Linked DNA regions of Saccharomyces cerevisiae S288C. The protein of the gene in region 2 purifies or fractionates together with the protein of the main gene of each other region. This does not show direct contact. Each region holds a gene or a part of one and is shown on either strand. Other genes may lie near its edges.

Evidence for each region. The genes of interacting proteins can lie anywhere in the genome.
Region 1: the proteins of HXT6 (region 2) and YGR266W purify together in Saccharomyces cerevisiae (affinity purification with mass spectrometry, with the first as the bait; one large-scale study listed by BioGRID). This does not show direct contact.

What each region holds. Positions count from the first base shown.
Region 1 is NC_001139.9:1,020,677-1,025,261, reverse strand, and holds YGR266W (uncharacterized protein), read right to left. Parts: upstream 2,607-4,585; coding exon 501-2,606; downstream 1-500. Other genes in the region: FOL2 (GTP cyclohydrolase I), read left to right, coding at 1-258; methionine--tRNA ligase MES1, read left to right, coding at 3,409-4,585.
Region 2 is NC_001136.10:1,156,066-1,164,799, forward strand, and holds HXT6 (hexose transporter HXT6), read right to left. Parts: upstream 5,256-8,734; coding exon 3,543-5,255; downstream 1-3,542. Other genes in the region: YDR344C (uncharacterized protein), read right to left, coding at 5,941-6,384; hexose transporter HXT3, read right to left, coding at 6,892-8,595. UniProt on the Saccharomyces cerevisiae protein: High-affinity glucose transporter.

The DNA of each region.
Region 1 (4,585 bases), on a different chromosome or scaffold from region 2:
TTGGCCAGATTGGCAGAAATGTATGCGAGAAGGCTCCAAGTTCAAGAAAGACTTACAAAGCAAATTGCAATGGCCCTAAGTGATATTCTAAAACCATTAGGTGTAGCCGTTGTTATGGAAGCTTCTCATATGTGCATGGTTTCAAGAGGCATTCAAAAAACGGGATCTTCTACGGTAACTTCTTGTATGCTTGGAGGGTTTAGGGCTCATAAAACAAGAGAAGAGTTTTTAACTCTTTTAGGAAGAAGAAGTATTTGAAAAAAAAAAATAAAAGCGACGATATATCGTGTATGTATTAACTAAATTAATAGAGATATACAGGATTAATATCGTTTGAGAAATCTCCATAGAGAAAGGCCACGCGCGACTGAGCTTTTTTTTTTTTCAACAATCAGTATATACATTTACTTCCGGTACAGCATCGCACTTGACAGTCCGTTAGTAATGAATAGAAAAGTTTGAACTGCTAAATAAAAATCTGTAATTATCACAAAACTAAACTATGTGATATTCAGATGTTTGATACCCTTGTGAGACAACCGTTCGCAGGTAACTGTTAACTCTGGAATGGGTAAACAGTAGCTCACAGTTTGTGAGTTTGTTTGATTTGCATCTCTTTCAACATGAATGGTGGTAAACAAGCCACCAGAAGTTACTGGATAAGAGTTAATTTGGTCATCGTTTTCCAATTTCTGTAGCTTTTGCTGTTCTGTGATGATACCAGGAATGACTATATCACCAACCTTTACGCCTAATTCTTTACTCAATTGGGGATTATTCAACAGGTTTTCTATAGGTATAATATCTGACCAGTTTCTCTTGTTCATGAAACATGATTCTTTACGTTTATGTACTCCATCCACTTCCTTGGCAAAAATTGGTACGGCATCTTCATCCGTTTCCAAATCGAAATGATGCAAGCGACATCTTTTTTGCAATAGCGTGGCCATTGCATCTGGCGGTGGGGTATTTACTATGGCGCTAGCAATGATATTAAAAATCAGCCTTACGTCTTTCGTTGGTTCTTCAATAATTCTGGTGTTTTCCTTTTCCTTCTCCTCAGACATGATGAGATGGTGTCTATGAATTTTTGCCCTAAATCTCCCAACAGATGCCAAATGTACATCGCCTGATAATATGGTTATTCTGACGCCATATTTAGCACCTATGTCTTGCAATTTCATTATCAAGTAGTTTCTTTCTTTTTTATGATGTCTCGCGCACCAATGATCATTTAAATCATCCAACAGTTCTACATCTCCATTAAATTCGTTAACGAAGCCACTAGCAAATATCCCTTTTTTAGATAAATATTTAATTGGAGCCAGTAGTTTTGAGGTAAAAAGCCATTCTAACCATACTAACCTTGGATATGCAATCGGGATACCGAGCATCAGCAATAAGTGGCCACCTTTTAAATTTTTTATTTCCCTTTCGACACGTTCCCAAATTAAGGAATAACTTCTTTCTGAGAAAATCTCGTGTAATTTCCTCTCAGTTCTACAGTCCAACCCTAACATGGCCATTTTCGGACCCAACCAAGAGAATATTGAGTGAGACCTTTCACCGATATAAGAACTCCCTTTTTCATTACCTAGAATCCATTGTTTGCTCTTGAGATAAGCATACTCATCGCCATCTTGTTTAGAAGCACTGACATGCTGCTGGAAAAGCATATAGTATCGGTAAGCCATTCTTCCCACTGTGAGGAAATTTTCAGTCTTCATGAAGGAATCGTTGTACGATCCATAGCCATCAATAATATCGTGGTCATCCCAGACATTAATGGCAGGAATACAAGCTAGTGACTTGACAAAGCATTTTTGGGTGGTCTTGGATTTTGGGGTAGAACCATACCAGTGACCGTAACCGTACCAGTTTAAATAGTGTTCTAAATAAAACTGCCTAATCTGCTCTTTTGTTTCTTCAGTGGTCTGAGTATTATACTTCTTAATTGGGTCCTTTGTCTCCAGCCAAGCTTTAAGATTTGGCGCATGCAGTTTAATATTATCGGAGTAAATTTGATCTCCGCCGCCGAGAATGGCATGATAATGAACGTATCGATGCTTTTTAAGGACATCATACCATAGAGAACCTTTGAATTTCGATGTATCTACGCTCAGTGAAAATCCGTTGCATGAATAGGAGATAACGTTCGAATTTTGAGTGAAAGAGGGAACGAAGAACCTATAATGTGGTTCCATAGTACCGTCAACAGCATATTTTACCATCTGCTCATAGTTGGACATGGGCAACTTAATCTCATACCTGTAAAACCATATATTATCATCTTTTAAAATGTCCTTATGAAAAAGTTTACCTTCGAAGAATGCCTCGTTAACTTCGATGTCTTCATCCTCAGAGGGCAAAGAGGGCCCTAGCTGATAGGTAATTTTCGGAAAGTTTTCCTCGCCTCTAACTACCACCATAATAGACCCCTCGTAGGTTTTTTCCTTAAAATCCATGTTGATGAGTCTTAATATCGGTCCACATATAATACCAGACTTTGGAATTGGCGAAGTTTCGGAACAGTCATCGCAGCCAGTGACATCGTCTCTATAAAGAGCTTCTGGGTTCCAATCGTCGAACCAGTTTGTAGCATGCATTTTTGTAGCAGTGTTTATTTTCAATTGAGTACTTTGAACCCGGTAGCAACTGTTTTGACCTTCTGTAGGACTTTCCCCTCACTAACTTTGTGGAATTTCTTTTCATTTTTACTAATGGACCCTTCGCTATGTAGCCGTGCCGATAAAAATATATTCCTGGTATTACCCGACGCTGCTATTTCAACTTTTTTCAATAAAAGGACGAAAAAATAACATGTTTAATCTTGAGACCTTCTGGGTTAAGTTTATTGATAGAGATTAAGTACTAGTTTAAAACGTCTCAGGCATAAAACATGAATTATGCTAACTTTTTAGCTACAGCGGACATAGTTGTACAAACTGAGGAAAGGCTTCTTTAACCAGGGATTTTGAAGTAGGAATTGTTGAAGTCAAAAATGGGAACCTATGGAGGGGAATTCAAAAGGCATGAAGTCAAAAGATTAACATAATATAATTCAACTTTGAAAAATATTCTAGTCAAAGCTTTCCCGAGAACGCGTAGCGTGATGATAATGGTGTATCCTATCGATCTGTCGACTTGCTATGATTATCTTTGTTAGCCGCCGAAACGATCATTTATGCATTGCCCGAGTATAGTCACTTCTTCTCAATATCACGAGGCACGAATGATTTCGGAGGCAGAAAAAATTTCTGTACGCAACTTATCGAAAGAGAAAACGAAAAAAAAAAAAAGACGATGACAAATTTTCTTCGATGTCTAATGTTAATGATGATTTGCTTCCTGATATGCATCTTTGTGGAGGAATAAAACTTGAAAAAAAAGCGGAAATTTACAACAAGCATGTCTTTCCTCATTTCCTTTGATAAATCGAAGAAACATCCTGCCCATTTGCAGTTAGCGAACAATTTGAAGATTGCCCTAGCACTTGAATATGCAAGCAAAAATTTAAAGCCTGAAGTTGACAATGATAATGCTGCCATGGAATTGCGCAATACAAAGGAACCTTTCCTTTTGTTTGATGCTAACGCTATTCTAAGATATGTCATGGATGATTTTGAAGGTCAAACTTCCGACAAGTATCAATTTGCATTGGCATCTTTACAAAACCTGTTATATCATAAAGAATTACCTCAACAACATGTCGAGGTTTTGACAAATAAGGCCATTGAAAATTACTTGGTCGAATTAAAAGAACCATTGACTACTACAGATTTGATCCTGTTTGCTAACGTTTATGCTCTAAATTCTTCTTTAGTTCATTCTAAATTCCCAGAATTGCCATCCAAAGTGCATAACGCTGTAGCATTGGCTAAAAAGCATGTTCCACGTGATTCTTCTTCTTTCAAAAACATCGGCGCAGTGAAAATCCAAGCTGACTTAACAGTTAAGCCAAAGGATTCAGAAATTTTGCCTAAGCCAAACGAAAGAAACATCTTGATCACTTCGGCATTACCTTATGTCAACAACGTTCCACACTTGGGTAATATCATCGGTAGTGTTCTTTCAGCAGACATTTTTGCTCGTTACTGTAAGGGACGTAATTATAATGCCTTGTTTATTTGTGGTACTGATGAATATGGTACTGCCACGGAAACTAAAGCTTTGGAGGAAGGTGTGACACCAAGACAATTATGTGACAAATATCACAAAATCCACAGTGACGTTTACAAGTGGTTCCAAATTGGATTTGATTATTTCGGTAGAACTACGACGGACAAGCAAACGGAGATTGCTCAACATATTTTTACAAAGCTAAATTCGAATGGTTATCTAGAAGAACAATCTATGAAGCAATTGTACTGTCCAGTTCATAATTCTTATCTGGCTGATCGTTACGTGGAAGGTGAATGTCCAAAATGTCACTACGATGATGCTCGTGGGGATCAATGTGACAAATGTGGTGCCCTGTTAGATCCATTTGAATTGATCAATCCACGTTGTAAATTAGATGATGCTTCTCCAGAACCAAAATATTCTGATCATATTTTCCTATCGCTGGATAAATTAGAAAGCCAAA
Region 2 (8,734 bases):
AAGTATTGGCATATATCGTCTCTATTTATACTTTTTTTTTTTCAGTTCTAGTATATTTTGTATTTTCCTCCTTTTCATTCTTTCAGTTGCCAATAAGTTACAGGGGATCTCGAAAGATGGTGGGGATTTTTCCTTGAAAGACGACTTTTTGCCATCTAATTTTTCCTTGTTGCCTCTGAAAATTATCCAGCAGAAGCAAATGTAAAAGATGAACCTCAGAAGAACACGCAGGGGCCCGAAATTGTTCCTACGAGAAGTAGTGGGTCATAAAAAGTTTATTCCCTGGAAAAAAAATTTTGCGTTGCCTTTCTGGAGAATTTTTTCGAATTAGCGTGCTGCCACTGCATGCATTTCTGAGAAGTGTGGGCATTCTTCCACCAGTTGTTCCTCCTAAAAAAAAAAAAGATTTCCTACCCCGCACAAATTCCTGCATACCCCTCATTTCCACGGGGTAAAAAAAAAACATCCCGTAGCAGCCTCTGACGGAGCCGTATGGAACAATCCTGGATAAATATGGCGGAAAAACGGCTCTGGCTGCGGCTTTGTTTAAGGCAGAAACTAGATGAGATGTTTGTTGTTACGGAAAAAAAAATTTGTTGCGCTTTCTGTAGTGGGATTTGTCCTCATAACTTCTCCATGAAGGGGCCATTAAAATCTAGCCCTCTAGTAAAGCGTTATGGGAGCACTCTTGCGGCGTTCAACGGTGCTGCTTTTTCACTTTTACAGTATGATATGTCTTTCACATTGGGTTTTAGCTATAATTAGATAAAAATATTTTAAGTTGCTTTTGAAGTGTTTAGTAGGGCGTGTTTAGCAGGGCATGCTTAACAACCCCAAATGATCTTAGCGATGAGAGTACTATTTTCTAGGGTTGTTTTGTGCAGCCTGTTAATGTAGACATCAAGAAATTAAATGCGATCTTAATTCATTCGGAATTTCTTTTCACCGTGTGAATGAAATTTTTCGAGATGCTAAGTATAATAAAAATAAAAAAATAAAATCGCTTTTCTTCTAGAGAATTTTTCCGTGAGAAAGTAAAAACACATAATACTAGCTTAATAAACTTTTCTTTCCACCACCCATAGGATACGCTAACAATTTTTGCTGTCAACTGCTTGCCATTTTGTTTTCTTCCGACTACTATCACTTAGGGCTATTGGCAGTATATGCGTAATTTTATCAATTACCATACTTGTCAAACATAGATCAGGAAAAATATTAACGTTCCTGTCAATCTAAGACTTGAAGATTACAGGACTTTTTTTTTTCTTACTGTATTTTTCCGTAGAGTGCACCATTCGGCAGATGGATCGCGGGGAAATTGAGAGTTTATGCAAAAAAATCCGAAGGTGGAATTAAATGGGTCCCGCTTTGGAAAGCCCCGGATTTAATCCCCCATTAAGGCAAATTACTCCTCATCCTAGGTGGAGAAAAGAACCGGAAAAAAATGCAGTACCTTTTTTGTTCCCATTTCTTTTCCAAGTAAACAGGCGGAGAATCAAGCTGCTGCAGTTAGTTCTCAGAGTTCACTTAACGTTCTCCTGTAATAAACATAAGGAACAACCATCACCCCACACTTTTATCTCTTCCTCACTAACATTGTGTTAGCTTGCATGTTCTTTGAGACTAATGACCGATTGTTTGATCTCTTCTTCCGATTATTGCTGGTCCGATCCCTTGAGCATCGAAAACCAAACGACTGTTTAAGATCTGTAATTGATTAAGACCCATTGGCGATTACTCACTCATCGGCAAAAAAAAATGGTCTGAACATGCGTTGAAAATTTTGCTCCCATGAGATTTTTTGTCTCATGTAGTAATTATTTTATTTCTTGAGCAATCTGAGCTTCAACAAGACAGAAAACGAATATGGCAACTGTTATTTCGTTATATAGTGTTGCTGGTGACCGAACACAAAAATGATCTTAGAATTGTAACTCAGGGAGCATACGAACAAAAGATTATTAGCATTTCGTACTTTCTAAAAGTTGAAGAAGTTGGCATTTGTTGATTTTATCATATCCTTAATAAAAAGTTGACGTCAGCATACAATTTGAAAATAGCAATATCGAATGCCTATTCCTCCTTTCGTTGTTTGAGTTTACCTAATATATCGATGCATTTTTGCAAAAGTGTGGTATTGAGCACGCGGTACTAGAAGGAAAAATCTCTTCTTTTTACTACGTGTCCTGCATTTCTATCATGGTGAAGATAATCATTATTTTATGTCAAAAATTACTAGTTAGCTGTCAGAATTTTTTGTTTAAACATTGTTGAATTCCTGTCGCAGGTTAAAGAAATCGAAAAATAGCCAATGAAGTAGACAGAATCATTTGACCAGTTAGGTAAATTACTGTGTCAAATAATTCAACAACGCGTTTCTACGTGGTGGGCAGAAGTCCCTGGAATACTTTAGTGATGGTACACTTTTCGACATTAGAATTGTCTCTGAATTGTCACCCCGCTAATAAGTTATTTGTATGGACGCCAATAAAACCATACAAACGCGGCTTTCTGGTACTGCGTTTAATCTTGCATGAACTTTTCCGTCCATTGGGGCGAATATTCACTGTGCGATGTATACTACCTTTTTAGCTACTGAAGCCACTCTTAAAGCATGATTTTTTTCCTTCCTGCCATCTAAAGGTTACTTACGGCAACCTTTCCATAAATTGTTGCTGAAATAACATATAATAGTACCAAATGGGCCTATCAATAAGTTTACAGCCTACAAGATTTTCTTCCACTAAAATATATTCGAATAGGACTTTGGCCAAAAACTGTTCATTAAGGGGCAGACTGTTCATGTTTTCTCGCAAATTACCTTTTTAACAAGGTGAAATTATTTTTTTTGGGGAATGCTAACTGTTTATCATCTGCCAGGAAAGAAAACTTAGATCCTCTTTACCAATCGCCGCCAGTAGTACATCATTTCTTATTAAATAAAAACATTTTCATATCATTAACCCTTTTTCAAACATATATGGGATGTAGTTTGCCAAGGATGATCATAAAGGCCTAATATGATCCCCATTTTCTTTTTATTACCAAAAATTCAGGTTTATTGACAAGCCTTCTCTACTCTGTCGCAATGCCAGTTTAACATTGAGGAGTTTAGTAGCTTCATTGTAATGAGGTGACTCTATTTAATTTCAGGTAGAAAAGCGCAGTACCGAGGTGAGCCCTGCATATGTACACTGATTGTGAAAAGCTCCGGCTCATAATTAATTTTTTTGATGAATTATAGAGTACTTTGTTTATAATAGAAGACTTTTTTTTTCCTCCTAAGGTAGCTTATGCGAGAAAGAGCGCCTACTTCGCTTCTAGCGCTACAAAACAATAACTTTGAAGGGTAAAGCTGTTAACTTTTCTTCAAAGCTTAGAAAAGAAAAAAAATTAATAAAAAATTATACTTCTATTGGCAACATCTTGCCATACAATATAAATCGTAAGGGTTCATTAAAAATATAAAATCAGAATTAGAGTGCATTTCAAATGCACAAATTAGAGCGTGATCATGAATTAATAAAAATGTTCGCAAATTATTTGGTGCTGAACATTCTCTTGTACAATGGCTTATCATCGTGAGCCATTTCTTCAGCGTCGTAGTTGGCACCTCTTCTAGATGGTGGAACCCATGAGGCAGACTTCCATGGTAGAACACCTTCTTCCCACATGGTGTTGACTTCTTCCAAAGTCAAACCCTTAGTTTCTGGAACAACTAACAAAACATAGAAGAACATGAAGACCAAACAGCCCATGAAAACGTAACCGTAGTAGAAGTTAATAGCACCAGTAATAAATGGAGTGAAGAAACCAATCAAGAAACCCCACAACCAATTAGCAGCTGTAGCAATAGACATAGCCTTAGACTTGACTCTCAATGGGAAAGTTTCAGAAACAACGACATAAGGAATTGGAGCCCATGTAGTAGCAAAACAGAAAATATAGAAACAGGCAAAGACAATCATACAGTTACCAGCACCCTTGGAAGATGGTTGGTCTTGACCATTTGGCCATAATCTGGTGACACCCACGGAAGCATAGACAACCATACAAGCAGTCATGGATGCAGCACCCCATAGCAAACAAGTACGACGACCATATCTCTCAACAACGTAAATACCAACAAAGGTGGAAGCAAAGTTAACAATACCCAAGACAATAGAGGTTTCGAAAGAGTCACTCAAACCAACAGCCTTGAAAATAGTAGTACCATAGTAGAAGAAATAGTTATCACCTGTCAATTGTTGTAGAGATTGAATCATAGCACCCATGATCAAACGCTGAAGGACCTTTGTCTTGCTACTAAACAATTCACCCCAGGATGCATTACCAGCTAATTTCTCTGCCTCTACACCAGCCAAGACAGCTTCGACTTCAGCCAAAACAGATGGATCATCAACAGCAACCTTGTTAGAAACGGCAATAGAACGTTTGGCTTCTTCGATCTTACCGACTTCAGCCAAATAACGTGGAGACTCTGGAACAAATGTCATACCACCAATCATAAACAAAGCCCAGGCAAAACACAAACCTAATGGAACTCTCCATTGCACAGAGTTGGAGTAGTTCTTAGTACCGAAGTTGGTACAGTAACCCAAGAAAATACCGGCAGTAATCATCAATTGGTAGCAAGAGACTAAAGTACCCCTTAAATGCTTTGGGGATACTTCAGAAATCAACATAGGAGATAAAACGGCAATACCACCAACACCCAAACCGGAAATAATTCTACCGATGAAATATTGGTACCATTTGTTGATAGATGCAATTTGAATAATAATACCGATGATGTAGATGACAACAACGACAATCAAACCCACCTTACGACCGTACATATCACCCAATTTGGAAAGAATAATACCACCAATGGCACAACCAATGTTGAAAATGGAGACAATCAAACCAGTTCTAACCTTAGACAAATAATTAGTACCATCTTTATGCTTCATACCAAATCTTCTGATGAAATCGGTTTGATTGATGAAACCAGAAATGGTACCAGTATCCCAACCGAAAACGAAACCACCAAAGGCGATCATGATACACATAATAGAGACAGTGACATAGGCAGAAGCTGGTCTCTTTGGAATTTCAACGACAGGTTCGTGCTCTTCACCTTCACCATAAGCTTTTATTTCATCTCTTTCAGCCTTGTTTGATGGTGTAGATAAAACCGAGTGGGAGGCTGAGTCAACAGCAGAGAGATGCTCCACAGGAGTTTGCTCTGCAATAGCAGCGTCTTGTGACATTTTTTGATTAAAATTAAAAAAACTTTTTGTTTTTGTGTTTATTCTTTGTTCTTAGAAAAGACAAGTTGAGCTTGTTTGTTCTTGTTTTTTTATTATTAAAACAGAAAAATTGGAAAAAAGAAGAAGATAGTTACAAACCATATGTCTTTTCTCGAGCTCTTTTTATATGTTTCTGTGCTTTCTATATTGTATACCCATTTGCTCTCCATTGTCTGCAAGCCAAAATCTGCATACAGATCCGAGACATCTCTTGGATTTTTTTCAATGAAGGCACGGAGGGCATCTGAATAATCTCAATGAGTAAGAAACGAAATTTTTTAAGGAACATTTTCAATTTGCCTACGGACTATTCTCTGCAAAGTTCCAATAATTTCTCCTTTTTTTCCAGCGTTTAAAGGAAAAAAACTGGTTTTCGATGCCGGGGCCCCACAATGTACCTGCACTTTTTGTGGGGTAAACGTGGATAAAACGAATCTCCGTTGCCTAAAAAACATTTTTTTTCGTACGGTCCCCTCTGCGTTCAGGAAAAAAAGAGATCGGGTGGTGAGGCTAGGTAGCGTAGCCCCTTGGAGAAGCATATGAAACATTTGTCTTGGCGCCGCACACAGGAACTGCGCACTTCTTTTTGTCCTAGGTTGCTTATCACACCATATGGTGCACCCGTGCTCGTTGTCACTGCCTTTTTTTAACAATTCTTCCTTTGTTCCTCTGAAAGCACGGGCCGGCGCACTCCAATTACCCCTACATTAATTTCCAAGTAGTAGCAGGGGGATGAACATGTGAACATGTTGCAACAACTGCGGTGTCTTCTTAGGCTTGTGTTCGGAATTTCTTCCTCCTGTTTCGGTGTGTGTTGCTTATTTTTTCCTTGCCCCTTTGCGGCATCACAGCAGCCGTTGTTCCGTATTCCGGCTGATAAGCATGGAAAGATTTTCCAACAATACTCATGAAAAAATGTGTTGGTGTCTGAGTAAGCTAAATTTTCCCAAATTTGATGCCATTCAACCCGAAAACTTAAAATGTAAAAGGGGTTGAGATAGTGCAGCTGTGTGGCAAAAGTCAAAAAAAATCTGTTCCTTTCAAGGAAATGAAAAAAGGAAGGAAAAAATGTCCAGGACAGAAAGGCCATCCCCTTAGTAAAGAAACCTGCTTAGAGATTCTTGAGGCTCGAAAATGGTTGGTGGTTGGACTTCTTTTGAGTTTTCCGTCCGGATTTCAAACGAAATCCATCATCACGTTCCTAGCAACAAGAGGATTATTGGACGATTGTCGGGAGTAAAGATTACTCAGTTGGTTTTCTAACTCTACTGCGCACTTCTTCGTGGGTATAACAAATTGCACACACATACATTCTTATTATTTGATACTGCTTACGATAACCGGAGACTTCTTTTTTTTCCTGTTCGGCTCTCGCCGATGGTATGAAGTTAAATGGTAGAAAAATTGTTTGTTTTGTTTACAAACTGGATCAAGAAATGTTAAAATTCTGTTTGATATCATGTACCAATGTCTTTTATTAACTGTATCAGAGAATTATATATATAAAGTCATAAATCTTGTGTATTATTTATCATTATTGACTAGCACATCGAATCTTAAAATACACTATTATTCAGCACTACGGTTTAGCGTGAAATTATTTCTTGCCGAACATTTTCTTGTAGAATGGCTGGTCATCATGCATCAATGCATCAGCATCGTAGTTAGCACCTCTTTGAGATGTTGGAACCCATGAAGCAGACTTCCATGGTAGAACACCTTCAGCGTACATATCATTGACTTCTTCCAAAGTCAAACCCTTAGTTTCTGGCACAAAGAAGAAAACGTAGAAGTAGGCGAAAACCATACAGCCCATGAAAACGTAACCGTAGTAGAAGTTAATAGCACCAGTAATAAATGGAGTGAAGAAACCAATCAAGAAACCCCACAACCAATTAGCAGCTGTAGCAATAGACATAGCCTTAGACTTGACTCTCAATGGGAAAGTTTCAGAAATAACAACATAAGCAATTGGAGCCCAAGTGGTAGCAAAACAGAAAATATAGAAACAGGCAAAGACAATCATACAGTTACCAGCACCCTTGGATGAACCATTACCTTCACCATTTGGCCATAGTCTGGTGACACCAACAGAAGCGTAAACTACATAACAGCAGACCATACCAATGGCACCATATAACAAACAGTTACGACGTCCAAAACGATCGACAGTGTACAAAGAACAACAAGTAGAGAAGAAGTTGACGACACCGAAAACAATAGAAGTTTCGAAAGAATCACTCATACCAACAGCGTTAAAAACGGTAGTACCATAGTAGAAGAAATAGTTATCACCAGTCAATTGTTGTAGAGATTGGATCATGATACCCATCATAGTACGCTTAAACATGGCCGGCTTACCAGTGAACAACTCACCCCATGATGCTGAACCAGCAGCTCTAGCTTCTTCAACACTAGCTTCAATAACTTCCAACTCTTGTTGAATGAATGGATGGTCTGGGGCAACCTTGTTAACTTTGGAAAGAGATGCTCTTGCTTCGTCAATTTGACCAGCTTCAACCAAATAACGTGGGGATTCTGGAACGAAAGTCATACCACCGATCATAAACAAAGCCCAGGCAAAACACAAACCTAATGGAACTCTCCATTGCACAGAGTTGGAGTAGTTCTTAGTACCGAAGTTGGTACAGTAACCCAAGAAAATACCCAAGGTAATCATCAGTTGGTAACAGGAGACTAAAGTACCTCTCATTTCCTTAGGAGCGACTTCAGAAATCAACATAGGAGATAAAACGGCAATACCACCAACACCCAAACCGGAAATAATTCTACCGATGAAATATTGGTACCATTTGTTGATGGATGCAATTTGAATAATAATACCGATGATGTAGATAACAACAACGACAATCAAACCCATTTTACGACCGTACATATCACCCAATTTAGCCAAAATAATACCACCAATGGCACAACCAATGTTGAAAATGGAGACAATTAAACCAGTTCTAACCTTAGACAAATAATAACTACCATCTTTATGCTTCATACCGAATCTTCTCAAGAAATCAGTTTGGGCGACGAAACCAGAAATGGTACCAGTATCCCAACCGAAAACGAAACCACCGAAGGCAACCATAACACAACAGATAGACACAGTGACATATGCACCTTTACCTGTATTTGGGTTGGTAAGTACTTGGTCGGCCTCAGCTTGGAAATCATCTTGAACACCTTTTTCTTCAGGCATGTTCATTACCTGAGAGCTATTCGAAGGCAGGTCAGCATTCGAATTCTCACTTGACTTTTGTGGAGATATTAAATCTGGAGTTGAATTCATGATTGTTTAACTCAGATGTAAATTTTGTTTGTGATTCTATTATTTATGAAAAGCTATTAAGTAAAATTATGGAATATTCATGCTGAAGATAAAACAGCGCCTGTATTTATATGCAACCCCCAAGCGAAAAAAAACTTTG